Macaca fascicularis: one gene and its partners. The protein of the gene in region 1 purifies or fractionates together with the protein of each later gene. This does not show direct contact. Links are inferred from orthologs where the notes say so. Each region holds a gene or a part of one and is shown on either strand. Other genes may lie near its edges. The genes, in order: GDI2, RAB1B, RAB4A, RAB8A, RAB8B, RAB10 and RAB7A.

What was found.
Region 2: the proteins of GDI2 (region 1) and RAB1B purify together in Homo sapiens (affinity purification with mass spectrometry; 3 studies listed by BioGRID and IntAct, counting the BioPlex papers as one, with this or other methods). This does not show direct contact. The link is inferred for Macaca fascicularis from reciprocal best matches to the Homo sapiens genes GDI2 and RAB1B.
Region 3: the proteins of GDI2 (region 1) and RAB4A purify together in Homo sapiens (co-immunoprecipitation; 3 studies listed by BioGRID and IntAct, with this or other methods). This does not show direct contact. The link is inferred for Macaca fascicularis from reciprocal best matches to the Homo sapiens genes GDI2 and RAB4A.
Region 4: the proteins of GDI2 (region 1) and RAB8A purify together in Homo sapiens (co-immunoprecipitation; 5 studies listed by BioGRID and IntAct, with this or other methods). This does not show direct contact. The link is inferred for Macaca fascicularis from reciprocal best matches to the Homo sapiens genes GDI2 and RAB8A.
Region 5: the proteins of GDI2 (region 1) and RAB8B purify together in Homo sapiens (affinity purification with mass spectrometry; 3 studies listed by BioGRID and IntAct, with this or other methods). This does not show direct contact. The link is inferred for Macaca fascicularis from reciprocal best matches to the Homo sapiens genes GDI2 and RAB8B.
Region 6: the proteins of GDI2 (region 1) and RAB10 purify together in Homo sapiens (co-immunoprecipitation; 3 studies listed by BioGRID and IntAct, with this or other methods). This does not show direct contact. The link is inferred for Macaca fascicularis from reciprocal best matches to the Homo sapiens genes GDI2 and RAB10.
Region 7: the proteins of GDI2 (region 1) and RAB7A purify together in Homo sapiens (affinity purification with mass spectrometry; 3 studies listed by BioGRID and IntAct, with this or other methods). This does not show direct contact. The link is inferred for Macaca fascicularis from reciprocal best matches to the Homo sapiens genes GDI2 and RAB7A.

The regions. Positions count from the first base shown.
Region 1 is NC_088383.1:6,738,376-6,742,776, forward strand, and holds the start of GDI2 (rab GDP dissociation inhibitor beta), read right to left. Parts: upstream 3,142-4,401; 5' UTR 2,949-3,141; coding exon 2,904-2,948; intron 1-2,903. UniProt on the Homo sapiens protein: GDP-dissociation inhibitor preventing the GDP to GTP exchange of most Rab proteins. By keeping these small GTPases in their inactive GDP-bound form regulates intracellular membrane trafficking.
Region 2 is NC_088388.1:8,121,284-8,125,693, reverse strand, and holds the start of RAB1B (ras-related protein Rab-1B), read left to right. Parts: upstream 1-1,145; 5' UTR 1,146-1,203; coding exon of another isoform or gene 1,204-1,217; 5' UTR 1,218-1,910; coding exon 1,911-1,993; intron 1,994-4,410. UniProt on the Homo sapiens protein: The small GTPases Rab are key regulators of intracellular membrane trafficking, from the formation of transport vesicles to their fusion with membranes.
Region 3 is NC_088375.1:19,835,617-19,840,085, reverse strand, and holds the start of RAB4A (ras-related protein Rab-4A), read left to right. Parts: upstream 1-1,465; 5' UTR 1,466-1,694; coding exon 1,695-1,725; intron 1,726-4,469. UniProt on the Homo sapiens protein: The small GTPases Rab are key regulators of intracellular membrane trafficking, from the formation of transport vesicles to their fusion with membranes.
Region 4 is NC_088393.1:16,426,266-16,430,977, reverse strand, and holds the start of RAB8A (ras-related protein Rab-8A), read right to left. Parts: upstream 3,209-4,712; 5' UTR 3,190-3,208; coding exon 3,066-3,189; intron 1-3,065. UniProt on the Homo sapiens protein: The small GTPases Rab are key regulators of intracellular membrane trafficking, from the formation of transport vesicles to their fusion with membranes.
Region 5 is NC_088381.1:39,765,261-39,769,225, reverse strand, and holds part of RAB8B (ras-related protein Rab-8B), read right to left. Parts: intron 3,055-3,965; coding exon 2,977-3,054; intron 2,059-2,976; coding exon 1,969-2,058; intron 1-1,968. UniProt on the Homo sapiens protein: The small GTPases Rab are key regulators of intracellular membrane trafficking, from the formation of transport vesicles to their fusion with membranes.
Region 6 is NC_088387.1:96,120,082-96,124,046, forward strand, and holds part of RAB10 (ras-related protein Rab-10), read right to left. Parts: intron 3,685-3,965; coding exon 3,546-3,684; intron 1-3,545. UniProt on the Homo sapiens protein: The small GTPases Rab are key regulators of intracellular membrane trafficking, from the formation of transport vesicles to their fusion with membranes.
Region 7 is NC_088376.1:154,694,687-154,699,077, forward strand, and holds the start of RAB7A (ras-related protein Rab-7a), read right to left. Parts: upstream 3,029-4,391; 5' UTR 2,826-3,028; intron 1-2,825.

The DNA of each region.
Region 1 (4,401 bases):
TAGCTGTGGAACTATTCTTATTTTTTTAATCTACTATGTCTAACAAGACTCGTGAACTTATTTCCAAGTCCATAGTGAACTATGTGCAAAATATGTGGTGAGAGGCTGCCCACACATGCTGAAAGCGGAGAAAAGTAAAAGTTGCCAGCCTAACAGTAGAGTAAGACAGAGGGAAAAAATTTGAAGAGTAAACTCAAGAGCTCAAAAAGCAGAGCAGCCTGAGAGTAAAGGGGGCAAAAGTTCCTACAAAGCTGGCGGGGTCTTCATGGCTTCACCATGTTACAGCACAACACAATAATTAATCTTCACTATGTGAAATCTTAGTTATCAAGTAAATTATGTTTCTTAGTTTGTTAGAGAAGTTGTGACAGCATTTAGAAAGGCATTATCCAAAAGCTGTGCTCTTTAGAGATAACCCTTAATTCCTCAGAAAATTAAATTGTGTGGAATATTCCATTTCTTTTACACACAGAATGAAGATTTTACTCCTTTATGCCAAATCATTTTGTATCTTCTTGATTAAAATGACTATCAATATTTGTGATTACGAGCTTGGACTTAACAACTCATACAAACAATGGCAGCACTAAGCAACACAGCAACTCCAGCACTTCCTTACACTTCTTTAAAAGTAACAAGTTCCTAGCACTGAAAGCACTTGCCTTTTTTAGGTTCTTAAATCTCAGGCACTAAATATAAAGTAAATTTCAAGAAAATTAATTTAACTTCAGACACTCAAAAGTTAATTCTGAGTGCTAACTTTGGTTTTCTCTTCTTCTAATTTTTAGTCATCTAATTCCTGGTAACACTAAAAATAAGGATATAAGATTTCTCATTATCAAAATCATCCTGTCATCACTACTCCTATCAAGGATGGTAATAATGTGATTCTTCTGAATTGATATAATTATCAAAGAACATCTCAGAAAACTTAGGCAGGCTAACAGAGATTAAAGTTATCACAGCTACAAAATGACAGCAGAAATTGGTCTGATTTCTAGTTAAGTATGCATCTACCATTTATCAAAAAGTTCACAATCCAAATGAAAATTTAAACGAAGTGCATTATCTTAACTTGTTATATAAAAAGACTGTTTCACCATCTTTGATACAAAGTGATGTGAATGGGGCTTGTGGAAGCCTGCATGATGGTGGATTTGCACTCACTCGTCCATGCTCAACTGACCTCGATTGTGAGCAAATCTGAAAGACCAGCAACAACCATAGAAAAACGGTGGAACTAACCGGCTCTAACAACACGCTGGCAGCAGCACTACCCATTCCAACGGGCAAAATCCACCACAAACTACTAAGCGCAGTTTGGAATCCCAATTAGGCACTTAAAAAAAAAAGCACAAAACCTGCAGTGGGTAGGGCCTATTCATTTAGGCATCCAACAGTCTTCCAGCTTTTCAAAGACATTGACAGGATTATTCCTCAATTTGTCAAACATAACAAAGTATTCTGAATGAATATTCTCTAATAATTGCATATAACTATAAACAGAAAAATGACAGGCCAGAAAAACACCATTCTAAGTCTTAACAAACCTTTCTTAAAAAATTAGCCAAATAAAAGTTCAAAGGTTTTTTCTTGACTAGAGACATTTGAAAGTGTTATTTTGGGATGTTACCTGTTAAAAAAAAAAAAAAAAAAAAAACATTAGTTTGAACCTGACAGATTATAATAAATTTCAAAAAATTTGAAGTGGAAGTCTACATTAAATGACACAGGAATTTAAAGTCAGAGTACATAGGATACACAAGATTTACATCAGTATTCATCTTAATTATGATCAAGCAGCCCAAAGTTAGAATTTCAAAGTTCCCAAAAATCGATAGTTAAAATGGTTTTCTCCAAATTCTTTTGCAAGATGAAGTCTTCATAAAAAAAAAAAAAAACAGAAAAAGTACAAACTACAGAACCTGCCTGCATTATCTACAGTTAACCTAAAGCTCTCTAAGCAGACACATAACCAGGAAAATCAATATACCATGGTATTAGGTACACCTTGCATTCATATATATACTACAATGCATTCTTCATGTTGTTACTGATTTATCTTCCAACTCCCTGAAGAAAGCTGCGGAGTACAGAGAACTTGGCCTTTAGCAATCCATCACCAATCCAATTCTTAGGGGAAAAGAGTCCAGAAGAGACAAAGGAGGCAGGGAACCCACCAAACAAAAGGAAAAGGCGGCGAAGGTCAGGTGCGAAAGCATTTGATAGACAAGTTTTGAAAAAACTCAATTCCAATTCTACAGATGCTCGGTAAGTGGGAAGGGAGGGTGGCTAAAAAGATTCAATAATACTTCTTATTAGCAGGGGGGAGAAAGGATTAAAAGCCTAATTTCTGCCTTTTCTCCAAAAATATAAGTTAATCAAGCCCTAGCAGTTCCGAAGCAGTGATTATCCAAGACTTGTCAGGAAACCCCGTGCTCGGCTTTGGCAGCCAGACAGACCCGGGGAAGCGGCCGAGGCGGAATAGGAAATGCAACCGCGAGGCCTGCACCGTCCCCTCCGCCTCGGGTGCTAGTTTCCAACCCGGAGAGGTCACTGGCCCAAAGTGGGGAGCGGGAGCCTCGGCCCGGGCCGCCTTCTCCCTCCACTCCGCTTCCGCAAGGGGGAAGCGCAGCGACCGGGCTCCGCCGTTACCCCGCCCGGAGCCTCGCGGCCCGCATCTCCATTTCCCCGCCTGCCCCTCACACTGGGAGTCGCCCGATCGTCCCGGGACGCGGGGCGCCCCCAAACCCGCCCGTGCCCCCAGCCACGACTCCCGTCCCGAAAACCACGGGTGACTGCAGAACGAAAGCCCCCAGGAGCTGCGACCCGCGGGCCGTGCAGGAGCCGGGGATGCGCCCGCCCCGGCTGCTCAACCCCGGCCCCTCAGCCCCGGCGCCCACCGTCAGGCCAGTGCCCAGCACGATCACGTCGTACTCCTCATTCATGGCGGGGCAGGCGCGGACGCAGAACCAGAGAAAGGAAAAGGCGCAGGGGCTCGGTGACCACCCTACGAGGCTGGCAGGCGCTCTCGGGCGCGAAGGAAACGGGAAGAGAGGAGAGGAAAATGGAGCTGGCGACAAGGCGAGACCTGCCGCCACCTCAGACGGGAAGCGAAGAACCGGGCGGGGAGAAAAGGGGAGGGGGCAGGGAGGGGAGGGCGGTGACTGAGCCTCCGCAGCCGGGGCGGGGCCTGCAGGCGCCGGGAGGGCCGCCAATCAGGCGCTTCCGGCACTCTAATTGGTTTTGTCCCCGTCACTCGCCCAACTTTTTTTCTTCCCCGCCTCTCGCGAGAGGAAAAGGGCGGGGCGTCGCCATTTTGGCTTCCGGTTCCCTTTGCGGTTTCTGCCACCGGGGTCTGGGAGGCGGCGCGTGGACCGGGGTGGAGGCGCACGGGACCGCGGGAGGGGAGTACTGCCGGCCACCACGGTTCTGACTCCCGCCGTCGGGGCGGGAGCTCGCTCGGTCCAAGGTCCCAGAGCCGGACCGCCGTCCTTGGACTTTGAGCGGGTGCGTGCGGCGGCCACGTGGGCGAGGAACGTGGGTCCGGCCGCCTCTCGCGGGTAGCGGCCTTGGTTCCTCCCGCGGGGCTGGGCTCGCCGGGGCCCGGAGCCCGCCGGGAAGAGTTCGGAAATCACACGTGTCCTGTTTCCCGCTCTGTGCCTTCCCTGTTTGGTGCGTTGCCGGTGGGCGCTTTAGGAAAGTGGTAGGAGGAAAAGCGGCTTCTTTTGCTAAAAGGAACCCTTAACGGAGATGAAAGTGAAGGCCAGGTTTCATTGGGAAGCCGATCCGCACTTACCCAGGGCTATAACTTAAAGCCACTGTAAACGTGGTAGCTGATCCTTGGATGCAAAGGTTTAGGCCCTAAGCTTAGAAACTACCTTGCTTGCCTTCTAACCCCCTCCTCTTTTTCTAGAATTCTCTTAGGAATCTCTAACTTCATTGAGGACACGGGTGTAAGCAGAAGCTGTGTTCTCAGCTCCAAGAGGCAAATCCCACGAAAGCCTAGGCAGGTGAATTTCCTAAAGGCGATGACAGTTGGAAAACCTGTGTTTTCAGCACGTGATAAATCTGCATAGTCAGCAGACAATGAAGATTTGGCATTCAAGAACTACTCAAATACTTCTCGGTAATAGCTATCATGAGCCTGCCTTGATAGACCGAACTTGCTCATATTTAAATCATCAAGATTGAGGAGAGAATGTAACAACTTTTAAAAATGTTTCTTAACCCGTAAATACTTGGAGAAGATGTGTTATATTGGACCATGGACCTTTTGCAAGGGGAGGGGAGAAGAAAGCAAAAGTAAAGTTTAAATTTATATTCAACCTTAATTTGATTGTGTATATTTGTCACCAAATAAATTAGTGCAAAGTTGACCATACAACTGATTATGCAACA
Region 2 (4,410 bases), on another chromosome or scaffold:
GGCTCCACATTCTCGGGAGTGGCGCCTCCTAAGTGGCTCCCGGGACCTTCTCGCGCTCCTCCTGGCCTCTGAGGGATGCGTCCTACCCCGCCATCGCCCCGTGCCCCAGGACGGGGACCTCCCCTTAGTCAGTCCTCCCACCGCCGGGCCCTGCCCCGCATCCCGGCCTTATGCACTGCCCCTCCCGCCCGGCCCCGCCCAGGCACGGCCCGACCCCGCCCCGGGCACCGCCCACCGAGCCATCCTGCCACGCCTCTCCCCACGCCTGCAGCTTCTCGCGAGGGGCGGCGACGGTCCCTTGGTGGCAGGAGGGGCTCCCCCTGTTGCGGGTGAGGCGGCTGCTCTCTATTTTCAGATGTTGCTGTAGAAATAAAGACGGTTTGAATCTGAGCCGGGCTTGTTTTGAGGCGGAGGTCGGGGTCCCCCCGCGTCTCTAAACGGGTGGAGCCGGGAAGGGTCGCGCGTGAGTGGGGGACAGTGTGTCTCGCTCAACTGCTGTCCGCGCAGCTGGGCCCAGATATTCTGGCCCACCCCGGAACTGGGTGGGGGCCCCACAAGTCAGGCTTTCCCTAAAACGTTCACTTGTGGGGTTCTGGAGACCGCGGGCTCTTACGAGCTCTGCTCTTCACAAAGTTTTTGACTTTGAGTGAGTTTCCCGAGACTCAGTTTTTTCATCTATGAAATGCGGGTGATGACACGCGGCTGCGAGTTAGGAGTGCCCAGTACACGAGGAACCCTGGACAAGTGAACTTTTACTAGTCTTGCTAGATCCCACATTCTCATTTAATGTTCACAACGTGGGTATTGGGAGGGTAAGGATGACTCCGTCAGACAGATGTGAAACGTGCCAAGCCCAGCTCTAAACTGAGCTTTTTAAACACCGAGACGCCGTCAGGCTTTCCAGCATCGTGCTCAAGCCTAGGTGCGTCCGGCGTGCAAACTACAAGCCCCAGAAGGCAATGCGCCAGTAGTGATGGGAGTGGGCGCGGAGGCACGGGCTCCCCGACTACGCCTGCGCAGCGGGGCTGAGTTGGAGAACGTCTCAGACTACAAGTTCCGAGAACCAGCGCGGCGAGGCCTGAGAAGAGGACGTTTGCGCCTGCGCGTCGCGGGCGGGGCCTCTGGGGCGGAGCGGCCACCATCTTGGAACGGGAGGCGGAGCAGAGCCGACTGGGAGCGACCGAGCGGGCCGCCGCCGCCGCCATGAACCCCGAATAGTGAGTGAGCCCCGCCCGCGCCGTCCAGCGCAGCCTCGATCCCGAATACGGGGCTGTACGCTTACCGGGGTTGTCTGGCCCGGGTCAGGACTGTGCGGCGCCCCCACATCCGGGTCCCTCTTCCGCTGACCCCCCCCCCCTCACATCCGGGTTCTGCCCCTCCCCCCAGGGGCCCCAGGACCCCGGCTCAACACCCCGAGCTCTCACACCCGGGGCCCAGACGTGGCGACCCCGAGGGGCAGCTCTTGGAGCCCGAGACACCGGCCCTACCAGGCCTTATCGGTCAGATGACCCCGCAGTCCCGGTCACTTCAGGCCTCAGTTTCCCCACCTGCTGCTTGACAACTGTCCTGGAGTTTGGGAGCCCGTCTTTAGATAGTTTCTGGTCTCGGGTTCAGGCTCGGGCCCTTTAGGTCGGGCAGTGAATCCCTCTACCCTTCTCTTTCTCCTGAAGCCCGGCTCCTGGGGCCGGCCCAGAAACTGGCCAACTAAGCGGGAGGCCCCGAAGCGCCGCTTGAGTCCCATCTCCCGCAGGTCCTCTCTTCCGGGGCTGCCTCCTACCCTTTGCCTGGGTTACGCTGACCTGTCGCTCCCGACGGTCCGTCCTTTCCCGCCCTCTCCTCGCTTTTGCTCAGGCCCCCAACGCCACCGTCGCACCCCTTCCCTTGGCTGTCACACTGCTTGTGAAGTTTAGATGAATATGGAATTTGCTCTCCCCCTTCCAGCGGGATTCTCTGGTCCTCAAACTCTCCTCACTCTTGGTCACTCCCTCTGCGGGTAGGTGGCCCACATCTCATGCCCAGGACTAATAGTTTTCCCCAAGTATCAGTTATCTTCTTCCTCTTCTGCCACTTCCTTTTTCTCCTCCACATCCAGGTCTCAGATTTCCTTGGGGAAGGGTGAAGCTCTGAGCTGGATTGGGAGGGGAACAGAGAAGGGAACCAGCAGGCTCTCGCAGGGACTTTGGAGTCTGACAAACCTGGTTTGAGTCTTAAAGCGAAAAACTGTGTAAGTTAGGGCAAGTCACTTCCCTTCTCTGGCCTCTGGTTTCCTCATTAGTTGACAATGATAAAACTGACTTCATTGGACTGTTGCGAAGATTAAATGAGATGATGCATTTGAAGTACTTCACACAGGGAACTCAACTGTGTGACTTCACACAGTCACAAGTTGGAACTCAATATTATTAAATGTGATTACCTTTTACCTTTTTTTTTTTTTTTTTTTTGAGACAGGGTCTCTCTCTGTCACCCAGGCTGGAGTACAGTGGCACGATCATGGCTCACTGCAGTCTCCAACTCTTGGGCTCAAGCATTCCTCCTGCCTTGTCCTCCTGAGTAGCTGGGAATACAGAGGTACATCACCACATCTGGCACATTTTTAAATTTTTTGTAAAGACAGGGTCTCCATCTGTTTCCCAGCCTGGTCTGAAATTCTTGGGCTCAAATGATCCTTGTGCCTCGGGCTCCCAAAATGTTGGGATTACAGGTGTCAGCCACTGCACCCAGCCTTAAGTGCAATTTTCATTGCAACTTGACCACCTCTTCCTGGTGACTTCATAACAGGTTTTTTGTTGTTGTTTCCAAAGAGATGGGGTGGACTGGGCGCGGTGGCTTACGCCTGTAATCCCAGCACTTTGGGAGGCTGAGGCGGGTGGATAACGAGGTCAGAAGATCGAGACCATCCTGGCCAACATGATGAAACCCCATCTCTACTAAAAATACAAAAATTAGCCAAGTGTCATGGCACGTGCCTGTAATCCCAGCTACTCTGGAGGCTGAGGCGGGAGAATCACTTGAACCCGGGAGTTGGAGGTTGCAGTGAGCCGAGATCGTGCCACTGCACTCCAGCCTGGTGACAGAGTGAGACTCCATTTCAAAAAAAAGAGAGATGGCTGGGCGCGGTGGCTCAAGCCTGTAATCCCAGCACTTTGGGAGGCCGAGGCGGGCGGATCACGAGGTCAGGAGATCGAGACCATCCTGGCTAACACGGTGAAACCCCGTCTCTACTAAAAATACAAAAAACTAGCCGGGCGCGGTGGCGGGCGCCTGTAGTCCCAGCTACTCGGGAGGCTGAGGCAGGAGAATGGCGTAAACCCGGGAGGCGGAGCTTGCAGTGAGCTGAGATCCGGCCACTGCACTCCAGCCTGGGTGACAGAGCAAGACTCCGTCTCAAAAAAAAAAAAAAAAAAAAAAAAAGAGAGACAGGGTCGTGCTACATCACCCAGGCTGGTCATGTACTCCTGGGCTCCAGGGATCCTCCTCCTGCTTCACCCTCCCCAGTAGCTGGGACCACAGGCACACCCCACAGCACCTGGCCATCTGTCTCTTTACATGGGTTTTTCACTTAACAAGTTCTAGACTGTGCCCTGGGTTCTACTTCTGGGGCCTCCCCTGCCAAGCCAGGCATACCACAGGTCATGTACTGGGGATTCCCTAAATAGCCCCTACTGTACCAAACCATGAAGTCTCAGAAATCAGGGTAGGATACCCAGCTCTGTCGCCTTGGCAGGTCACGTCCCTCTCTGTGTCTTGATTTCTTTCTCCATAAAGTGAGAATTTAGACTCAGCAAGCTGAGAGCCCTTTGGGCTAGCTTTTTCTGGAGGGGGGCATCAGCCCTCCCTGACCGGGACTGGTGGGAAGATCTGGTGAGCACCATAGTATTCTAAACCAAAGGATGACCAGGCTCACCCCTGTAATCCCAGCACTTTTAGAGGCCAAGGCAGGTGAATCGATTGAACTCAGGAGTTTGAGACCAGCCTGGGCAACATAGTGAGACCCCGTCTCTACAAAACATAAAAAGAGTAGCCAGGGGCTGGATGTGGTGGCTCACACGTGTAATCCCAGCACTTTGGGAGGCCGAGGCAGGTGGATCACCTGAGGTCAGGAGTTTGAGACGAGCCTGGCCAACATGGTGAAACCCTGTCTCTACTAAAAATACAAAACTTAGCCAGGCATGGTGGCAGGTGCCTGTAATCCCAGCTACTCGGGAGGCCGAGACAGGAGAATTGCTTGAACCTGGCAGGCGGAGGTTGCAGTGAGCCAAGATCACGCCATTGCACTCCAGCCTGGGCAACAAGAGCGAAACTCCGTCTCAGAAAAAAAAAAAAAAAAAAAAGATTAGTTAGAAGTGGTAGTGGACACCTGAAGTCCCAGCTACTCGGGAGGCTGAGGTGGGAAGATCACTTTGAGCC
Region 3 (4,469 bases), on another chromosome or scaffold:
CAGAGAACCAAACAAGAAAGCAAAAAATGATCTGAGCCATTGAACAAGAAATATATACAAAACAATTTTAGGAAATTGCAGCTCTCACAACCTTTCACCATGGGGCCTTCTCTGTGGTTTAGAAAAAAAACTGCATTTATTTGTTATTAGGATGGGAGAGAAGAGAAAAATACCGACCCAAATAGCCCCTGGGGAAGAGGGAAGCTCTGATGCCAATGTGGAGGATGGAGCCAAATTGACTCAGGAAAAAAAAAAAAAAACTTTGTACTGGCATTTTCCACACAGTCCAGGTCACTTGGGAGCTTAGCCAGGGATATTTTGAGCATTCGACAACCTATTGTGAACAAGGTTGGGAACTATGAGGCGCTATGTGGCCCTGATCAAGCTCAGATGGGCCAAATCCTCAACCAAAATTCTCTTTTCCATAAATGTTTATCTCTACATTTCCCACAGAAGGGGATTCTAACTCAGTTTTGCTTCTGAAACCAAACTATCCAAGGCCAGGTGAGATGATTCACGCCTGTAATCCCAGCAACTTGGGAGGCCAAGGAGGGAGGATGCTTGAACTCAGGAGTTCAAGACCAGCCTGGGCAACATAACGAGACCCCATCTGTACAAAAAATTTAAAAATTGGCGTGGTGTGGTGCTGTGTGCCCCTAGCCTCAGCTACTCAGGAGGCTGAGGTGGGAGAATCGACAGGGCTGCGCTGACAAGAGCCAGACCCTGTTAAAAAATAAAAACAAAAAAACTCCTAAATTTGGAAACACATCCCCAGCTGGGGGCCAGGAGATAGTTCTCAGCCGTAATCCAGAACCCTCTAAAATGGGATGTGGAGAGGCTGCTGTCTGTAGTCTTGCGATGACCCTTCAGCATCTGGGCATCTTGAGCTTCTGTCATTCTGCCCACACCTGCTCAGCTCCATTCAAGAGGGCCGGGCAGTTTGGAGTGAAAGCTTAGCTTCCCAACGGGTAAATGAACCCGCCTCCCATTCACAGGGCGGCCTCTGGCTGGACACCTGGGGCCTACTGCCCCCTTGTTACACATTAACCAAGTTCTGGCCTCGATCGTAACTGCGTCAGGGAAGTTTCTTCCTGGCTGACAGCCTCAGATGATGACCGAAGACAACGTCTTTAACTGAGACGGGCCAGTGTGGCAAATGGACTGCTTTCCTCCCCAGTGCAGGCACCTTCCTCCTCTGTTCGGTAACTGGACCCCACTGTCCCCAGCCCTCTGTCACCCCCAAACCTGCCCACCGCCTGCCTCTACCCGGCCTTCCCTGAGGGAAATCGGGACTCAGCCCGCAACGCCCCCACCCGCCGCTCGCCCAGCCTCGGCGCACACAGCCAGGGGACCCAGCCCGCGCACGTGCTTCCGGCGCGCGCCGAAGTCCCCATGCGCCCCGCCCCCCGCCTCCCCGTGCGCACGCGCGAACGCGGCGTGGGCCGGGCCTCGGGTAGCCCATCTCCTCTTCCTCCTCGCGGTCGCGGCCGGACGGAGGGTGGAGGTCCCTGCGCCTGCGCGGAGCTGGAGTCCGGCTGGGCCGCAGCCGCTGGGAGGCCGGCGGTTGCCGTGGGGACCGGTCGGGCCCCTCCCTCCTCCGGTCTCCCGCCCCAGGTTCTTCCCCAGCGAGACGCGCCAGCGGACCGCGGGCGAGTGCAGCCGGTGACCCGGCGAGAGGCGGCGCCGCTCCCAAGATGTCGCAGACGGCCATGTCCGAAACCTACGGTACGAGGCCCGGGCTGGCTGGGCGCGCGGATCGGGCCGCGGGGGGCGTCGCCGGCGCGGGGCCGGGCTTGGGCTGCGGGGGTCTTGAGGGTGGCGGTGGCGCCGGCCGGAGCCGTGGGACGGGTCTCGGAGGTGTCTGGGCCTAGGACCGAGATGGGGGACGCGGGCCGCGGAGAGCTCGGGTGGGGTAGCGGGTGCGCCGGGCGCGGGCGGGGCTGTGCACAGCGCATTGGAGTGATCCGCCTTTTCAAGTTTCCTCTTGCTCTTTCTCTGCGCCTGCACTGTTAGCGCTTTTCCCCTCTCAGTCTAATGTAAATAACTGAAGGTTTGGAAAGCCAGCTTGATGTTCCGTTTCAGCTGCTATATTATCCCCAGCGAGCCGTGTGAAGGGCTTAGGGCGACGCCTGTGTTCCTCAAATACTTCAGTTTGACCTTTCCTGGTTTGGAATTCCTTGCTTTACATTGGGATTACAGTGAGGAGTTACTGATAGACTAATTCATCTCTTCCTCCGGAGACCTCTTCGTTTATTTCTCCCTCCCTCTCAGTGTTTTTTAGTCTTTTCTGAGTTGCATTTTGGCTATATATAAGCCTTGTATCCTTAAGACAGTAAGCACCTTGGAAGCAAAGCCTTGGCTGTTTAATCTTTGTTTCCCCTGCAGCACCCAGACCTGGAGGTGCTCGACAAATACTGTTTTGAATAAGCGAAAGCTTTCCCAGTGCATATACTTTGTGGTTTTTTTTTTTTTTTTTTTTTTCTCCCCTTTTTTGGCCTTGCGTGGTAAGAATAAACAACTTGTACTTTCTATCAGAGTTGAATATTAATAGATGTTTACCAGTCCCTAATCAGTCTTTCAGATGTGTGTATTCTCAGATTAAGACTTTGATTTGGAGTTTTACAGTCCCAGAGAGAGGCTCAAGTTCAAAATTACATACCTCAAGCCAAATTAGTCCTGTCTCCATCTGTCCTGGCGTGCTGCCTCCTTCTCGGCAACAAATACTGTGGAATGGCATCAGGGAAGCGGGCACCGTGCTGGGAGGGCTGTAAGTCCTGCAGAAAGACAGCAGACATGGCTCTAGTCTCATGGAGCGTACCGTCTATTGAGGGAATGCAGTATTCATCCAATTGTGATACTAATGAGTGAATAATTAAAAACCAGCCAAGAGTTCTTAAGGAGTGTGGTCCGTGAAAGTGTGTTAGAAAGAAAGGTGACCCAGACAGGGGGTGTCGGGGAGGCATTAGCCAGGCAACACACAGAACATCTCAGGCCTGTGGGAAGGGCAACTCAAGAAGGGTGTGTTGTGAGCACCACGCTGGAGAGATGGATGAGGAGACAGAGAGGAGAGGGCCTTGAGGAAGGCGTGAGTCTGTCTTGTAAGAAAAAATGGGAACTTTTGGAAGGGCTTCCGTGCTGGGGTCACAGTGCCTTTGGTCCACCTTCAGTGAGTGACTCCTGTGACTGGTACTGCCCTGTTCTTGGTGACACAGGGGCATGACATCTGTTCCTAGAAGGCTTAGGAAATCCTCCAGTAAGTCGATGCCTTCATCAGGACAAGTGTTTGCAAATGCTTCTGCAAATGGCAGTGGTCTGGTTCTTCCTGTAGAGAACCACAGTCAGAAATGTAAGGAAAACATGCTCTTTAGCAATTTTTGGTTGCATCTTTGCACTTCTTTATTTTCAAGTGCTCTTTAGCCCACGCTGAGTTTCTTTAACCTGAGTAAGGAGCACAGAGCACAAGGGAAGGGTGGAATGTCCAAAGAAGAAAAGCAAGTGGGGGTCATGAATCAGTAAGAAAGGACCTTTTATGTTTCATTTTTCGTTTACACAATGATAACAACTGATAAAATAGAGCATATCTTTGGCATCTCCACTTCAGACACAGTTAACTGAACTTTTGAGCTTCACAGATTGATTGCATTCTGATCATAAGGCTTTAACCATTAGTATTCTTATTTCATGATAACTTCCAAGTATGTTTTTACTTTGCAATTCTGAATTGAATATTTTCTTCTAATAGAGGAAATTAATCAAAAACTAGTAGAAACTAATAAATAGAAAATGAGGCCAGACGTGATGGCTCACGCCTGTAATCCCAGCACTTTGGAAGGCCGAGGGGGCAGATCACTTGAGCTCAGGAGTTCGATACCAGCCTGGCCAACATGGCGAAACCCCAACCCTATTAAAAATACGAAAAATTACCTGGGCATGGTGGTACACTTGTAGTCCCAGCTACTTGGGAGGCTTAGGCATGAGATTGCTTGAACCCAGGAGGCAAAGGTGCAGTGAGACAAGATTGCGCCACTGCACTCCAACCTGGATGACAGAGTGAGACTCTCAAAAAAAGAAAATGGGCTTTAGAAAGAGCAAGCAGGACAGTTGAAGTTTGCCAAGCTGAAGTAAAAGTCACCTAGAACCAAGTCCTAGGCTGTCACTTGGACATATCAGTGGCCATATTTATATGGCATTGTTCCTTAAAAGTGAAACAGTCAGGCTCCCTTCTGGATATTTGCCTCTGAGCTGGTGAAGGAATGTTTGCCTAACCTTTAAACTCCTTTGTACTCTGTGCTCATTTGCTCTTCTGTAAAAGGAGGCTCTGTGTAGCTTGACAGAGGGATGAGGAAAAATCAAGGGCCAGTGCATGAAATGTACTGGGTTTTTGTTTTTTGGTTTTTTTTTTTTCAATCTTTTTTTTTTTTTTGGAGACAGGTCCTCACTCTGTCACCCAGACTGGAGTGCAGTGACAC
Region 4 (4,712 bases), on another chromosome or scaffold:
GGCTAACACAGTGAAACCCCGTCTCTACTAAAAAATACAAAAAACTAGCCGGGCGAGGTGGCGGGCACCTGTAGTCCCAACTACTTGGGAGGCTGAGGCAGGAGAATGGCGTGAACCCGGGAGGCGGAGCTTGCAGTGAGCTGAGATCCGGCCACTGCACTCCAGCCCGGGCGGCAGAGACTCCGTCTCAAAAAAAAAAAAAAAAAAAAGAAATTCCTAGAAGACAGAAGGCTACAAATGGAAGGAGGGGAATGAAGGGGTGAGAGGGAGGGATCCTGGGGTCAGGTGCCACCTTCACCTTGCTAGGTAACTTTCACCAAGTCACATCCTCATCTGCAAATGGAAGACAGCCTCTTTAAAGCTCAAAGTAACTCTAAAGAGGGGGGGTCTGGGCTGGGCGCAGTGGCTCATGCTTGTAATGCCAGCACTTTGGGAGGCCAAGGTGGGCGGATCATGAGGTCAGGAGTTCGAGACCAGCCTGGCCAACGTGGTGAAACCCTGTCTCTACTAAAAAAAAAAAAAAAATACAAAAATTAGCTGGGCATGGTGGTGGGCACTTGTAATCCCAGGTACTCAGGAGGCTGAAACAGGAGAATTGCTGGAACCTGGGAGGCGGAGGTTGTAGCGAGCCGAGATTATGCCACTGCACTCCAGACTGGGTGACAGAGCGAGACTCCATCTCAAAAAAAAAGAGGGGGGGTTTGTGGGGAAGGTGCTGAGGCCGGGAAACTGGGATCTGAGTGAAGGCAAGCCACAGTCTGCCCACAGTTAACATAATTTCTTTCTTTCTTTCTTTTAAGATAGGGTCTCGCTCTGTTGCCCAGGCTGGAGTGCAGTGGCGCCATCACAGCTCACTGCACCTTGACCTCCTGGGCTCAATCAATCCTCCCATCTTGGCCTCCCAAGTGGCTGGGTCTATACGGGTAAGCCAGTATGCCCGGCTAATTTTATTTTATTTTTTATAGAGATGGGGTTTTGCTATGTTGCCCAGGCTGAATTAACGCCACTTCTTGATCGGTTGGGGCACAAGAGTTACCCTAAAGTTTGGCCTTGGAGTTGGGGAGGGGGAAGAATTCAGAACCATCTGTCTTCAGAGGCTGGATGCTGTCACTGCAGGAGCCATTCATTCATTTGCTTCTTCGAGATGGCCTCTGGTTACGGTGATAACCCCTTATTGTCTAATTCTAATCCTCAACCACCAGGGCACTAGCCCAGGAGACAGCGTCACTCCTGCTCTAAAGACAGCAGGGCTCAGAGAGGGGCAGTGTATGTTCAAGGGCAAACAGCAATTGGAAACCAGACGTAACGATTTCCAGTCAGTTCTCTCTACTTTACATCAGGCATATAACTGTTTTATAAAGCACAGCTATCCTGGGTGCAGTGGCTTATGCTTGTAATCCCAGCACTTCGGGAGGCCAAGGTAGGTGGATCACAAGGTCATGAGTTTGAGACCAGCCTGACCAACATAGTGAAACTCATATTTACTAAAAATACAAAAATTAGCTGGACGTGGTGGCGGGTGCCTATAGTCCCAGCTACTAGAGAGGCTGAGGCAGGAGAATTGCTTAAACCCGAGAGGCGGAGGTTGCAGTGACCCGAGATAGCACCACTGGATTCCAGCCTGGGCAAAACAGCTAGACTCCATCTCAAAAAATAAAATAAAATAAAATAAAATAAAATAGAATAAAATAAAATAAAATAAAAAAAGCACAGCTCCTGGAGGGGGGCAAGAATGGAATCAGCACATTATCGTGGGGTTCAGGGAGAAAACATGATTCTGTTGAAGTGACACAGTAAAGCAAAGGCCATTCCCTACGTTTTCGTGACTTGGAATAAACTCCTTAGTGACCGTTCCCCCATTTTCCCCATCCCTAGCAGGGCTACAGAGCTCCCAGGCCACTCAGACTGGTGTTACTCCCCGGTCTAACCTTTTCATTGTGGGCCAGGACTGCTTTTGTGGCACTGAGAGAGGTCAGTTCCACTTCTGCAGACGGCACAACTGAGATGCACCAAGCCAATTCTGTTCAACCACAATGTGGGCTGGCCCTACGGGAAAAGCTGTTCTAAAGTGACAACCGGAGTCTTGGGCCCTTTGATAGGGAAGTCAAGGCTGTCTGTGGCAGTGGCTGATTTAGTTGCTCGCTGAGGCTTTTATCTTGCATCTTCTTGCAGATGACAGGTTCCAGGGCAGGCAGTGCTGTCACTTGTCATTATTGTCATCCTGGAGCAGGATGAAATGTGGGCAGGGAAAAGGTCCTGACTCCTCTTATCATTCCTTCTAGAGGAAAATACACTTATGAGGGGAAGAATGGTCAGGGAGAGGGGTTCAACTTCTGAATGCTCCAGAGAAAAGAGCAGGAATGGTGTGGGTTACAGTTCCGGCTCCAAGGTGCATTAGCTGAGCTTGTCATCAGCTGGGAGTGTGAGGTGGCATCTCTCTAGGATAGCTAAGCCTCGAGTTTTGGGTTGAGACACAGCCAGGTTCAAATTCCATCAAATCCCATTCTCACCACCTGCAGACTGTGTGGCCTTGGGCAAGTTCCAGGCCCACCCTGAGCCTCAAATTCCTCATCTGTGAGACGGGCTCAAAACAGCACTTAACACCGAGAACTGGAGAGTGTGAAAATGCACGGGAAGCACTTGGCACATAGTAAATGCTCATTAAGGTGAGATGTTACCGTCTTTTTCCCATGGCCAATTCCCCATGACTCAGTTTCCACTTCTGTAAGGCAGGAGCCTCAAAAGAACCGCTTTGAGGGCTGCTGCTAGGACAGATCGAGAGGACGGGCGCGAAGACCCCAGCCCAGGACATAACACTCCCTAACGAGCGGGCTGAGGGTCGGAGCCTCAGTCTCCCCATCTGCAAAATGGGCACCTGGTCTCCCCCACCACGGCCCAGGAACCCCCGAACGGCGGTACAGGCGACTGCTCTTCTCCCCTTAGGCCCCCTCGACCCTCTCAGCGCCCTCGGCCAGTCCAGCCCGGTAGATCCCTCAGCCCCAGCCCCTCAGGGGCGCGCCCAGCCCGGGCCTCTGGCGCCCCCAGCCACTCCCCGGTCCCGCTACCTATGGTGGAGATAAAAGTGGAGTTGAAGGCGTCCTCGGAGAAGCGGAACAGGACACAGGTCTTCCCCACCCCCGAGTCCCCGATCAGCAGCAGCTTGAACAGGTAATCGTAGGTCTTCGCCATATTACACTCTCTCCCCGACGGGAAGTGCGGCCAGCGCCTCTCCACTGGCCACCAGCACCGTCCATCAGCGCCGAGCCCGCCCCTTATTGGCTCCAGGCCCGCTGCGCGTCACCGCGGCCGACGCCCGCCCCTGCGTCCCGCCAGTCGCGGGGAGACCTGGGGAGGGGGCGAATGGAGCGCGGAGCCGGAAGCAGCCCGAGCGCACCTCCCATTGGCCGGCACTAGGGAGAGGACGGGCTCTGATTGACCAGCAGTGAAGAGTCGTGGGGCTTCAAATGGGGACGAGGCGGGGGCGTGGCATTATGTGGCCCCCGCCTTCCACCCCCTACTCGGGCGGCCCGGCCCCGCCCCACTACAGGAGAGGGAACGCAGGGAGCGTCGCCAACGGCTCGCGCGCCGGCAGCCTGGGGGGCGGGGCTTGGGGTGCGTGCTCACGCGCGCCCGGAGTTCCGTTAGGCGACGGCAGAGGGCGCAATCCTGTACTTGGGGCGGGTATCTCTGGGTCCCGCCGTCACAACTCGCGCAGGCGCAATAGGCCCCGAGGCGAGCGCGGGAAACCATGGTAGCGCTCTCAACCTGATCTGCGGCCTCCGAGTCGGGGCAGCGGGGGCCGACGGAGGAAGGAGAGAGGAGACACTGTATACTCGAAAAGTGACCCGGGCCGGGCGCGGTGGCTGAAATCCCAGAACTTTGGGAGGCCTAGGCGCGTGGATCACGAGGTCAGGAGTTCAAGACCAGCCTGGCCAAGATGGTGAAACCCCATTTCTACTAAAAATACAAAAATTAGCCGGGCGTGGTGGTGGGCGCCTGTAATCCCAGCTACTTGGGAGGCTGAGGCAGAGAATTGCTTGAATCTGGGAGGCGGAGGTTGCAGTGAGCCGAGATCGCGCCTTTGCACTCAAGCCTGGGCGACAGAGCAAGACTCCATCTCAAAAATAAATAAATAAATAAAAGTGACTCAAGACGAGTTCCGAGGTCTGCGGCCTAGCGACCTGCTTACAGATACCCAAGGCCTCCGCCACCTGAGCGGCTTCACCGCCACAAGCTGTGCCCCGAAGCGCGCGCCGGCCTCCTCAGGGTCCGCCCTCGGCCGCTTTAGGAGTTGTCCGGGCCAGCCCGGGGGGTTTAGAACAGTGAGGATGCTTTAGAACAGTGAGGATGCTTGTTCCTATCTAGGGGCCAGGACTCTCAACACTGAAAAAACAGGCCGGGGCTGTGGCTGCCACCTGTGATCCCAGTGCTTTGGGAGGCCAGGAGTTTGAGGCTGCAGTAAGCGGTGATCGTCCCACTGCACTCCAGCATGGACGACAGAGCGAGAAGCCTCTCAAAAAAAGAAAAAGGCCGGGCGCGGTGGCTCACGCCTGTAATCTCAGCACTTTGGGAGGCCAAGGCGGTCGGATCACGAGGTCAGGAGATCGAGACCATCCTGGCTAACGGTGAAATCCCATCTCTACTAAAAATACAAAAAAGCCGGGTGTAGTGGCGGGTACCTGTAGTCCCAGCTACTCGGAAGGCTGAGGCAG
Region 5 (3,965 bases), on another chromosome or scaffold:
TTTTGTTTGTGCGTTTTGTCCAGTTCTTTGCTCAAAATGCCAAGAACCTGGATGACTTTGTAGTCAAGATCCTCCACTGGTAAAACTACCATTAGCCTGGGATTCATTCACTCCTTTTATCTGCTCCCAAAGTATAATTCTCCAACTTTACTATACTGACCGGGCGCAGTGGCTCGCGCCAGTAATCCCAGCACTTTGGGAGGTCGAGGCGGGCGGATCACCTGAGGTCAGGAGGTAGAGACCAGGATGGCACATGGCGAAACCCGGTCTCTACTAAAAATACAAAAATTAGCCAGGTGTGGCGGCAGGCGTCTATAATCCCAGCTACTTGGGAGGCTGAGACAAGAGAATCGCTTGAACCAGGGAGCTGGAGGTTGTAGTGGGCCCAGATCGTGCAATTGCATTCCAGCCTGGATGACAAGAGTGAAACTCCGTCTCAAATAAAAAACAAAAACTTATACTGACTTTTAATTACCCTTGTTTTTTTTTTTTTGAGACAGAGTGTCACTCTGTTGCCCAGGCTGGAGTGCAGTGGCACTCTCTCAGCTCACTGCAACCTCCGCCTCCCGGGTTCAAGCGATTCTTCTGCCTCAGCCTCCTGAGTAGCGGGGATTACAGGTGTGTGCCACCATGCCCAGCTAATTTTTGTATTTTTAGTAGAGACAGGGTTTCACCATGTTGGTCAGGCTGGTTTTGAACTCCTGACCTCGTGATCCGCCCACCTTGGCCTCTCAAAGTGCTGGGATTACAGGTGTGAGCCATCGTGCCAGGCCTTAATTACTTTTAATAAATGAGTCCAGAACTGAACAAAAATTTAAATACTAAAGTATTCAAGCTTTGATTTCTATTAAGACAAATTGAACTCTCATATATTCCTCAAAAAGTTCTTAGTTTATTTACAATGCTAAAATTAAGTAAATGTTTTTAGGGGAAAAAAGTCTTTAGCAAAAGTTCACAGTCAAATTGAAAAACAAAATGTGGCCAGGCATGGTGGCTCACACCTGTAACCCCAGCACTTTGGGAGGCCGAGGCAGGTGGACTGCTTGAGGCCGGGAGTTCAAGACGAGCCTGGCCAGCATGGCAAAACCCCGTTTCTACTAAAAATACAAAAACTAGCCGGGTGTGGTGGCACATGCCTATAATCCCAGCTTCTTGGAGGCTGAGGCATAAGAATTGCTTGAACCCAGGAGGCAGAGGTTGCAGTGAACTGAGAATACACCACTGCACTCCAGCCTGGGAGACAGAGCAAGACTCTGTCTCAAAAAAAAAAAACCAAAAAAAAAAAAAAAAAAAAAGAAAAAAGAAAATTCAATTTGCATATATAATTTTTTTAAAGGCTAAAGCAAAATTCCAAGACTTAAAAAGTGAAGCTTCTAAGTCAATTTAGAATCTGCCACAGAAGTAAATATGTGCACAAAATATCCTTTTGCTTTACAGGAGGACACAAAAGAGAGAAATGCCCATAAACAACATATAAATGACATCCATAGCTTGATCAATTACAAGGAATTTATCCATAAAACCTAAAGCTAATGTATAGTAAAATATTCTTAGGGGAAAAAATGAATTGGAAAATGATTCCTGTTGAAACTTCACCTACCCTGTAACTTTTTTTAAAAAAAGAATGAATTACTTTAGCTTCAAAACTGGGCATTTTCACACAGATCTGGAAGAAACAGCCTGAACTCTAAGCTGCAGGAATCTGAGAAAGGACCAATTTGTATCTCCCAGAAAACATTAGCAAATTCTTTAGGAATGAGTCATGACCACACAGTATAGGGAGCTGGATCTCGAATACTAATTCACACCATTCAAGTATGGATTACATCTCTTTGTTGTTGATATCCAATTTAAAAGGATTAAAACACAGATTAAAAAAAAAACTTAAATCAATAATTAAACAATATGAAGAAAAGAAATGCTTAATGTGAGTAGAATCCAACCTTTATTCATTCCATTCACATTTACCTTCTCCCCTCTTTCTTTTGACACTTGTCTTTTGTCATTCATATCACATTTGTTACCCAGGATCATTCTTTCAACATCGGAAGAGGCATGCTGCAGGGAGAAAATAGCATGCTATAAAAACAGCCTGAGAAAAACCCATTACTTACTAGACAAATCCAACTTGTCAGAAACACATGAATTTAATAAGACAAACAATCTTTCACTCACACAAGGCGTAATTCAGAGAAAAGTTTAAAGATGGGAGGAGGGGCAAAGCTACAGCACAAGAGCCCTCACAGAGCCTGTGCAAACCTTCTTCCTGAGGTTTGGAAAGAAGGTGGAACACACACAAATAAAGCTTACGGTGATCTAATGACAAAATTTCCAAATATTTGGGTCAAAGAAGGACAAAAACTTGGTACTGAGTGAACCAGTGGAGAAGGCATTCTGGATTCTGAACTATTTTAAAAAGAAATTCATCTAAGTTAATAGAAACGTGTACAAAATTGTATCAGTCAGATTTCTTTCTTAAGTGACAAAGACATTAAAAAATCTTAATACCAATTATCCTGGGATTAAAACAATCTTCAAATATCTAAGATAGAGAAAATGTCAGAAGGGTAAAAAGTTGCCAGGGTAAAGAGATACTGTTGCTAGCCAAACAGCATGGTGGGATAGAAGTTGGGAACCAGATGTTTTAATCCTGGCTCTTCTTTTTAAAGGCTGTATGAGCACAGGCAAATCATTTCTTTCTGGTCTGTTATTCATGTGTAAAATGTGATCTAGGATTAAATTATTTCCCATATGTGGCCCAAACTTAAAATCTTGTGACATTATTTCTCTGTTCCCCTATGCCCCAGTAGTCAGACTGGCAGCACCAGAGATTTATGGAGCTCTTCAGAGAGAGAAGGCCCAACCTGCCCATGCCCTGCTTCTAAGCAGCTCAGCTGCCTTGCAGAGACAGAGGAGCCTTTTAAAAGCACCCAGCAGGACTCTTCTCCAATGTCACCATTCTCTTTCCGCACATACCTCTTCAATGTTTCTGATCCAATTTTTAATATTGTCAAAGGATTTTTCATTTGTGATGTCATAGACCAGCATAATGCCCTGTAATGGGGAAAAAGACCTTTATTTAGTACTTTATATATTTAAAGTTATAGTATATAATGTCAATGTACTCCTACCCTCCAGAAACCTTTTGTTTGTCCATTTTTCCCTTTACAAAAGGATTCATAATAAATTTGAAAAGTACAGAGAAACAAAAATCAATAAATACATTATTCCACTGGTCTCACCATGTAAATAAAAACCCTGTTAACATTTTCACTGTTAACCTTTAATGAACTGGTGATTGTGGTAAAGGTGAGACACCCTTTCCACCTGGCCTAACATGAAAACAATCAGCACCAACTGGGCTGAGTGTTCAGTCAAAACACAGATAACACTGGGAGTAAGAGTTTGTCACTTCCATTGTGCACTTGTTTATTCCAAGTAGAAACTATCTTGCTTCCTACTGTTCTACTAAGATTGAGGCTACACTGATTTAAAATTATTTTTTATATATGTTGATCAAAAAATAGGTTGTCACTATTTATCTAAGTACATCACAGACACTTAAAATCCAATGTATTTGTTATACTGGTTTAATGAAAGGCATTCTCGTCATATTTTTAAAGACTCCATGTCTGATATATCTTTCTTTCTTTCTTTTTTCTTTTGAGACAGTCTCCCTCTGTCACCCAGGCTGGAGTGCAGGGGCACGATCTCCGCTCTCTGCAAGCTCTGCCTCCCAGGTTCACACCATTCTCCTGCCTCAGCCTCCCGAGTAGCTGGGACTACAGGTGCCCGCCACCACGCCCGGCTAAGTTTTTGTATTTTTAGTAGAGACGGGGTTTCACCATATTAGCCAGGATAGTCTCGATCTCCTGACCTTGTGATCCGCCCACCTCAGTCTCCCAAAGTGCTGGGATTACAGGCGTGAGCCACTGCGCCCGGTCCATGTCTGGTATCTCCAAAAG
Region 6 (3,965 bases), on another chromosome or scaffold:
ATCCATTTTGAGTTAACTTTTCTGTATGGTATGAAGTAGGTGTCTAACTTTCATTCTGCCACACAAGGATAGCCAGTTTTCCCAGCACCATTTGTTGGAAAGACTATTCTTTTGCCCATTGAATTGTCCAGGCATCTTGTTAAAAGTCAACTGACCATATATACAAGAGTTTATTTTTAGACTCTCAATACTATTCAATTAATCTTTATGACTATCCTTATGTCAGTATCACAATGTCTTGATTACTGTGGCTTAGTGGTTAAGTTTTAAAACCAGAAAGTGTAAGTCTTACAACTTTGTACTTCCTTTTCAAGATTGTTTTGGCTACTCTGGGTCCCTTGCCTGTCTATATTAGTTTTAGGGTCAATTTGTCAATTTCCACAGGGGGAATTTAAAAAAAAGCAATTGGGATTTTGATAGGGATTGCACTGAATCTGTAGATCACTTTGGGTAGTAATGCCATCTTAATATTGTCTTCCAATTCACAAATACAGGCTACCTAATTGTTTAGATCTTTAATTTCTTTCAACAATATTTTGTGGTTTTCTGTGTACAAGTCTTACACTCTTTTGGTTAAATTTACTCCTAAGTAATTTTTCCCTTTTGATATTATTACAAATGGAATTTTATTCTCAATGTAATTTTTAGGTTATTGCTAGTGTACAGAAATAAAGCTGATTTTTGTATCTTGATCTCATTTCTTTGTAACCTTGCTGAACTCACTTATTAGTTCTAAGAGTTTTCTGGGTATATGTTTGTGGGTTTTTAAGGATTTTCTATATAAAATATTTTACCATTTATAAATAGTTGTTTCACTCTGGATGGCTCTTTTCTTTTTTCTTTTTTAAGCTCTGGCTGGAATCTCAGCATAATGTTGAACAGAAGTGGCCAGAGCAGATATTCTTGCCATGTTCTTGATCTTAAGGGACAGGTATAATAGCTGTGGTATTTTTATAGATGTCACTTACAGGATTAAGGAAGTTCTTTGCTATTCCTAGTTTGTTGACTTTTTTTTGAGACAGAGTCTTGCTCTGTTGCCCAGGCTGAAGCGCAATGGCACGATCTCGGCTTACTGCAATCTCCACCTCCCGGGTTCAAGTGATTCTCCTGCCTCAGCCTTCTGAGTAGCTGGGATTACAGGCGTTTGCCATCACACCTGGCTGATTTTCGTATTTTTAGTAGAGATGAGGTTTCACCATGTTGGCCAGGCTGGTCTCGAACTCCTTACCTCAGGTGATCCACTCACCTCGGCCTCCCAAAGTGCTGGGATTTACAGGCATGAGCCACTGCGCCCAGCCGAATGTTTTAATCATAAAAGAATGCTGGATTGTGTCAAATGTTTTTTCTGTGTGAACTGAGATAACTGTATAGTTTTGTCCTTTATTAATATGGTATATTACATTGACAGGTTCTGACCCTGGCATTCCTGGGTAAAGTTCCTCTTTATCATGTTATATAATCCTTTAAATATGTCAGAGAAACAAGATTTTCTTTTTCTTTTTTTTTGAGACGGAGTTGCATTCTGCTGCCCAGGATGGAGTGCAGTGGTGGAATCTTGGCTCACTGCAGCCTCCTCCGCCTCCTGGGTTCAAGTGAATCTCCTGCTTTGGCCTGCTAAGTTGCTGAGACTCCAGGTGACCACCATCATGCCCAGCTAATTTTTTTGGGTTTTTCATAGAGACAGGGTTTCACCATGTCGACCAGACTGGTTTCAAACTCCTGACCTCAGGTGATCCGCCTGCCTCGGTCTCCCAGAGTGCTGGGATTACAGGCGTAAGCCACCACACCTGGCCAAGATCTGTGTATCTTTAATTATTAAAAAATAATAAGCTTCTCCTAAAGGTTTATTGTAGCAACAAAAAAGTGGTTATGAGCCATTAGGATTGCTACCCTTAGGGGTATTATCTTGGGTCTAATATTGGTTTAAGACTTGCTCTTTGTGTATCTGGCCAAAACTTGCTCCAAAGAGTTACTCTCAATGAAACTCAAAGCCTAGAAGGTAGCAATAAGGCATGAAAAACAACTCTTAACAAGAAGCCACCTATGCTGTAGCAAAGAAATAGACATGCTTTGATACGTAACTTTAACTTATAAAAAGTGACATCAGGCTGGGCGCGGTGGTTCACGCCTGCAATCCTAGCACTTCAGGAGGCCAAGGTGGGCAGATCACTTGAGGCCAGGAGTTCAAGACCAGCCTGGCCAACATGGCGAGACCCCCATCTCTACTACAAATACAAAAATCAGCCGGGTGTGGTGGTGCATATCTGTAATTCTAGCTACTTAAGACACTGAGACACAAGAATCACTTGAACCCAGAAAGCAGAGATTGCAGAGAGCCAAGATCGTGCCACTGCATTCCAGTCTGGGTGATGAAGTGAGACTCTATCTCAAAAAAACCCAAAATAGGCTGGGCGCAGTGGCTCAAGCCTATAATCCCAGCACTTTGGGAAGCCGAGACGGGCAGATCACAAGGTCAGGAGATCGAGACCATCCTGGCTAACACGGTGAAACCCCGTCTCTACTAAAAATACACAAAAAACTAGCCGGGCGTGGTGGCAGGAGCCTGTAGTTCCAGCTACTTGGGAGGCTGAGGCAGGAGAATGGCATAAACGCGGGAGGTGGAGCTTGCAGTGAGCTGAGATCTGGCCATTGCACTCCAGCCTGGGCGACACAGCGAGACTCTGTCTCAAAAAAAAAAAAAAAAAAACAAAAAAAAAAACAAAAAACAAAAATACAGAAAAAAAACAACATTTTCACATGCAATGGAACTATTTTCTTAGGTTTTTACTGTATTAGCATTCCATATATTTCAAAATGCCTAGAAGCAATATTATATTTCTGTAACATGAAAAATAAAGTTTTTAAAAATTACTACTAGATATTTCATTCATTCATTCAATAAAAATTTATTAAGAAAAAATTCATTTCCAGAAAGTCATTGTAAAACCACTGGTAGCTTCTATTTGGGGTCATCTTATAAGATGGCTATATAGAGTTTTGGAGTCATTTACTAATTGTCTTGAATGAGGCTCTAGATAGACTGCCCAAAAACTTAAGAAAAACGTAGGCGAATAACAACATTAACTTTTTTTTTTTTTTTTTTTTTGAGACAGAGTCTCAAAAAAAAGCCTGTTGCCCAGGCTGGAGTGCAGTGGCGCGATCTTGGTTCATTGTAACGTCTACCTCCCAGGTTCAAGAGGTTCTTCTGCCTTGGCTTCTCGAGTAGCTGGGACGACAGGCACGCGCCACCATGCTCAGCTAATTTTTGTAATTTTTAGTAGTGACAGGGTTTTACCATGTTGGCCAGGCTGGTCTTGAGCTCCTGACTTCAGGTGATCCTCCCGTCTCAGCCTCCCAAAGTTCTGGGATTACAGGCATGAAGCCGCCATGCCCGGCCAACATTAACTTTTAGAAAATAGAAATACTTCAGTAATAATTACTTCAACAGTACATTGTATCTTGAAGATCAATTGGAATATTTATTCTTCTTAACCAAGCACACAAATGTGTGTTCATGAAGGGTTTATACAATTTCTAGGTCTTACCTCATCTATGTTTCTAAGCCATTTGCTGATGTTTTCAAAACTTTTACCATTGGTGATGTCATATACTAGCATGATACCCATTGCGCCTCTGTAGTAGGAGGTTGTGATGGTGTGAAATCGCTCCTGGCCTGCTGTATCCCTGAAATAAACAGCCAACAATTTCTATTAAGCATTTTGGTATTACTACGTTTCACATAAAGGACAAAACAAGAATAAAATAGTTTTTCCTAAGTATATATAAAAACTTTTTAGTTGAAGGGAATTAATAACCTACTCATACTGGATGAAAATCTAAAAGGCAAAACAGTAGGAAGTGACACATAAAACTCAAGGTTATTGAATAAGCACTAGCAAACACCAGAAAAACTCTTTCCATTTTGTTTAATAATTTAGTTCCATAATGTAACACAAAAGCAGTTA
Region 7 (4,391 bases), on another chromosome or scaffold:
GTTGTTCTCTGATACAGGTTTTGTGAGCTTAGACACAGTTGGCATCAAAAAAAATACGAAAAAAAAAAATTGCCCCACGTGGTTGCTAACTACCTAGAAGGATATACTAATAAAACTATTTTTAGAGTATCTTCTACATTCCACCCTCTGTTTACTCATGCAGTTCTACCACAAATGCAAAATCCAAATCTTCTCTTGAAGGGAACCTAGAAAGTTTGTGGGAGATAGGGTAGCACAGCTTTTCTATGTAGAATGGTACTGAAACTATGGCCGACACAATATCAGTGCTACATTAAACTTTCTTGCCAGCTGAAGAAAAAAATCCAGTATGCCAAATGTCCAAATGTACCTTTGCTCAAAGACACTGCAGTGCAAGGTAATGGTAGTGACATGGACTACCTCTCGAGTGAACCAAAAAAATGCCACTAGAGTCGGCCGGACGCAGTGGCTCATGCCTGTAATCCCAGTACTTTGGGAGGCCAAGGCAGGCAGATCACCTGAGGTAGGGAGTTCGAGACCAGCCTGACCAACATGGAGAAACCCTGTCTCTATTAAAAATACAAAATTAGCCGGGCATGGTGGCACATGCCTGTAATCCCAGCCACTCGGGAGGCTGAGGCAGGAGAATGGCTTGAACCTGGGAGGCAGAGGTTGCAGTGAGCTGAGATCGCGCTATTGCACTCCAGCCTGGGCAACAAGAGAGAAACTCCGTGTCAAAAAATAAATAAAATAAAACAAATGCCACCAGAGCAAAAGGAGAAACAAGTTGAGTGTTGAAGGTTACTCTTTAAAAGATGTGATAAATTAGAAACTGTAATATTATCTTCTACACTCTCTGAAGAGCATACAAATGCTGTTGTTAAAATTAACAAAGCCTTAAAGTTAGCCAGAACACCATCCTTTGGATTACTACGGATTCATCAGCAGAAATGAGAAATAACTCTTTCCAAAAAGCCTCAAGTTCTACCACCAAATCATTCCACAATAGAATTTCTGGCCAAGATCATTCACCTTTTAAAAATTCCCTGAGGACAGGAACCATGCCTATCTCCCTAAGTCAACATCCCACAACGCCTGATACATTGCTGATACTCAATGGATACTCAAAATACTTCATGAATGAATAAAAAGGTGCCTATCATTACTCTCCTCTAAACTCAAACATTATATAAAGCTACAGTACTTATTACTCACTTAAATATTTTAGGCTGGGTAGCAAAGTTAAAAAAAAAATAAAAAAGACAAATTTGAATACAACAGGATTGTGAACGCTAAGCTTTAACTTAGCCAGTCCCTTCAGGAGAAGCACTCCTAACTCACCTTCCAGTTCTTAAATCCAAATCTGAACAAACCTTCCCAGGTTTGAAGAAAGAAACACACTAAGAGGAGACTTTATTAATCCATGGATGAGAAATCATGTGCCTCATCAGCTGCTTAAGTCACAAGAAAGAGACAAGAGCCTGTTCTTTAGGAAACCAAAGATGCAGTATTTTGAATAGGGAAGAACCAACTGGCTGGACAGCCATCAACTAAGGTTGTAAGAAAGGTTCGCTAGGCAGCTTTGCCAGGCCTACCTGCAAAATTTTTCAAACCTCAGTTAAGTACCCCGCCAGTATTCAAGAGCTCCTAATTCAACTACACTACAATATGTGTGATAAGCCGCAAACGGCATTTCTTATGGCTTTAAGAGAGAACTGATGCTACCAGAAAGACTTTCAAACGACATCAACAGAAAGAAAGGAGGTGGTGGAAGGCAGTGAGGTACAGATACCAGGTGGCAAAAGATAAACCACACGCTTCAGGGGCACGTGAAAGCAGTATAACCTACAAATTGAATAAAGTGCTCTGGAGTCTGACTGCCTGGGCTTGCATCTTTGCTTCGTAACTTAGCTGTGTGACCTTGGTCAAATGGTTTAGCCTCTCTGTTCAATTTCCCACTGTGTTAAGTGGGCACAACAGTGGTACTTTAGAGGGTTGTTCAAAGAACTAAACATAATGATCTGTTAAAAGGTCTTGCCACGCTGCCTAGCATATAACAAACGCTCAAATATTTGCTGTCAGTATTCTCAATATTCCCCTTATGACCCATTAGGTATCAAGCGTAAAATGAATGCAGAAAGAGGCCCCCAACACGGTCCGAATGGAAACACAACTCTACATCCAACTACCATCTTTCCCCGACTAAGTTGAAAAACTTCTCTCAGGATTTACCGTAACATGCCTAGGACAAAAAGCTCCCTGTCTTCCAGCGCCAGAGGCGCCTCAATGTACACAAGTGTTGAGGCGATCCCAGCGCACGTGACCTGACTCACGCCTTGACTCAGTTGCCGTCAGGGAACCTCTCCCACTAACAGGGTCAGGCTGTTCAACTGAAGAGCCGGATGGGAACGCGGCTCGGCCCCCAGCGCCTGTGACCCATGCCCGCCAGGTGGGCACGGCGGCGGGCGGCGTGGGCTCTGACACCCTCCTGCTCGCCACGCTAAATAACTCCACCGCCTAGCGCGTCCTGCCGCGGCGCAGGGCAGTCCAAGTCAATGAACCCTCTTGGGTCTCTGAGATCGACGCCAACAGTAAACAGAGCGTCCGAGACCGGCGGCCGGGGCCGGCAACCCGGCCAGAGGTCACGCCCGACGACCTCCGACCTCTCCAACCCGGGTGGGGTCCTGGCCTGCTTCGTGGGCCTGAGCGATGCCGAGTTTGCCCGCGAGGCCAGGGCTGGGCCTGGAGCCTGCCAGGAGGACAGGGAGGACGCGAGGCCCTGGCGACCGAGGAGTTGAGGAGGGGGATGGGGCCAGGCCGCCGGCCGGGCTGGGCCCGCTGCTTACCGCGGCCTCTGCGCTGGGGGCTCTGGGCCGGGCGCGTCGCGAGGGCTCCCGCCGAGGAGGAGACTCAACGGAGGACAGAAGAGGGGAGGTCCAAGTTCTGGTTCCAGGGAACTCTGCTGAGCTCTCCAAGCCGCCAACTCCGCCGCTGCCGCCGCCTCAGGCTTTATGGCCAAGACTCCAGGCCCGCTCCCACTTCCGCCACCGCCGCCGCCCCGAGCGGAAGTACCTGTCACGAGACGCTCGACGCCGGGGTGCGGAGGAGGAGCCCCGCCTCAACCTTGAGTCACGTTCCGGCTGCCTTGGGACAGAGCCTGGATCACGTGCTACAAACATGTCTGCTCCCAAACGGTTGTCCCCATCTTTGAGGCTTGTACAAGGAGCAGGACGGCGCCATGTTGGACCCACAGACAGATTCCCTCAGCCATCCCTCCTTGCTCCAGAATAAAGAATGCCACCGAAGAGAGGTCAAGGGGTAAACTGGCCATTCCAATTGTGTCCTTCTTCGGAAGGCATCATTTATCCTTACTTTAACTACCTAACCAAAAATTATTATCACCATTTTACAAATAAGGAACTGAGACCGAACATATCAGGTCACTTGGTCTAGCTCAACACAGAAACTGGTGGAGCCGGGTTTTGAACCAAGGTCTGTCTGATGCCAATGTGTGTTATCGTTCTAGTAGACTGCAAATGACTACAGCAATTGTGTGACTCAGTAATAGAGACAGGAGAAATAGACACTTTGGCAGAGGAGACAGCACGAGAAAATGGAAAATGAGCTAAAGCCTCTCTGAACTTAGTATTAAAGAAGATGTGATAAAGATGGACCTGGTAGAACTCTTCTTGTAAGCACAGAGCAGCCTCCCAAGCACCAGCCCCATCTGAACACATCAGGATCCACTCAGAACTTTTGTCTCCATCTTTAACAATGCCCTCTAATAGTCTTTTCTTATTTGGTTCATGCAAACTCCATTCTTTCAATTGTTCCATCCAAAAACCTTGCAATTGTTACAGTAAGTAAGTAGTTAGACCTGAGCAGGGCAGGAGTGGGGCCACTCCCCCACCAGCAATGTGAGGCAACCATGACGTGGTGGTCAGATTAAGCTATCTCTCTAAAATAATAATTGGTTGCAGTCAGAACCAGGGAAAGAGTCTCCCAATAGATAAAAACACCTAAAACTGGTGATCAGCAGCTTCCCATTGAGATCTCAGAAGTTGAGGGGTCTGGGGAAAAAAAAAAAAAAAAAAAAAACCTCAAAATCTAGGCAAGCAGTCCTAACCCTGAGATGGCACAATGTCTGGGGTTTCCCCTACTTTTTCAGCTAAAATTGGCTCTTTCCGCAAAACCCTCGCTACCTATTCTCCTGTTTTCTCTATGTGTATTCTGAAATGGCCTTGCACACTGCAGGACCATCAGCTTCTGGGGTAAGTCTACTTTTCTCTGCTTTCACTTTGCATGTGCCCAGGAGTTCGAGACCAGCTTGGGCAACATAACAAGACTGTCTCTTCCAAGATAAATAAAAAAGAAAGGAGAAGGCACACATCTACATCAGACTTTTGCAGTTG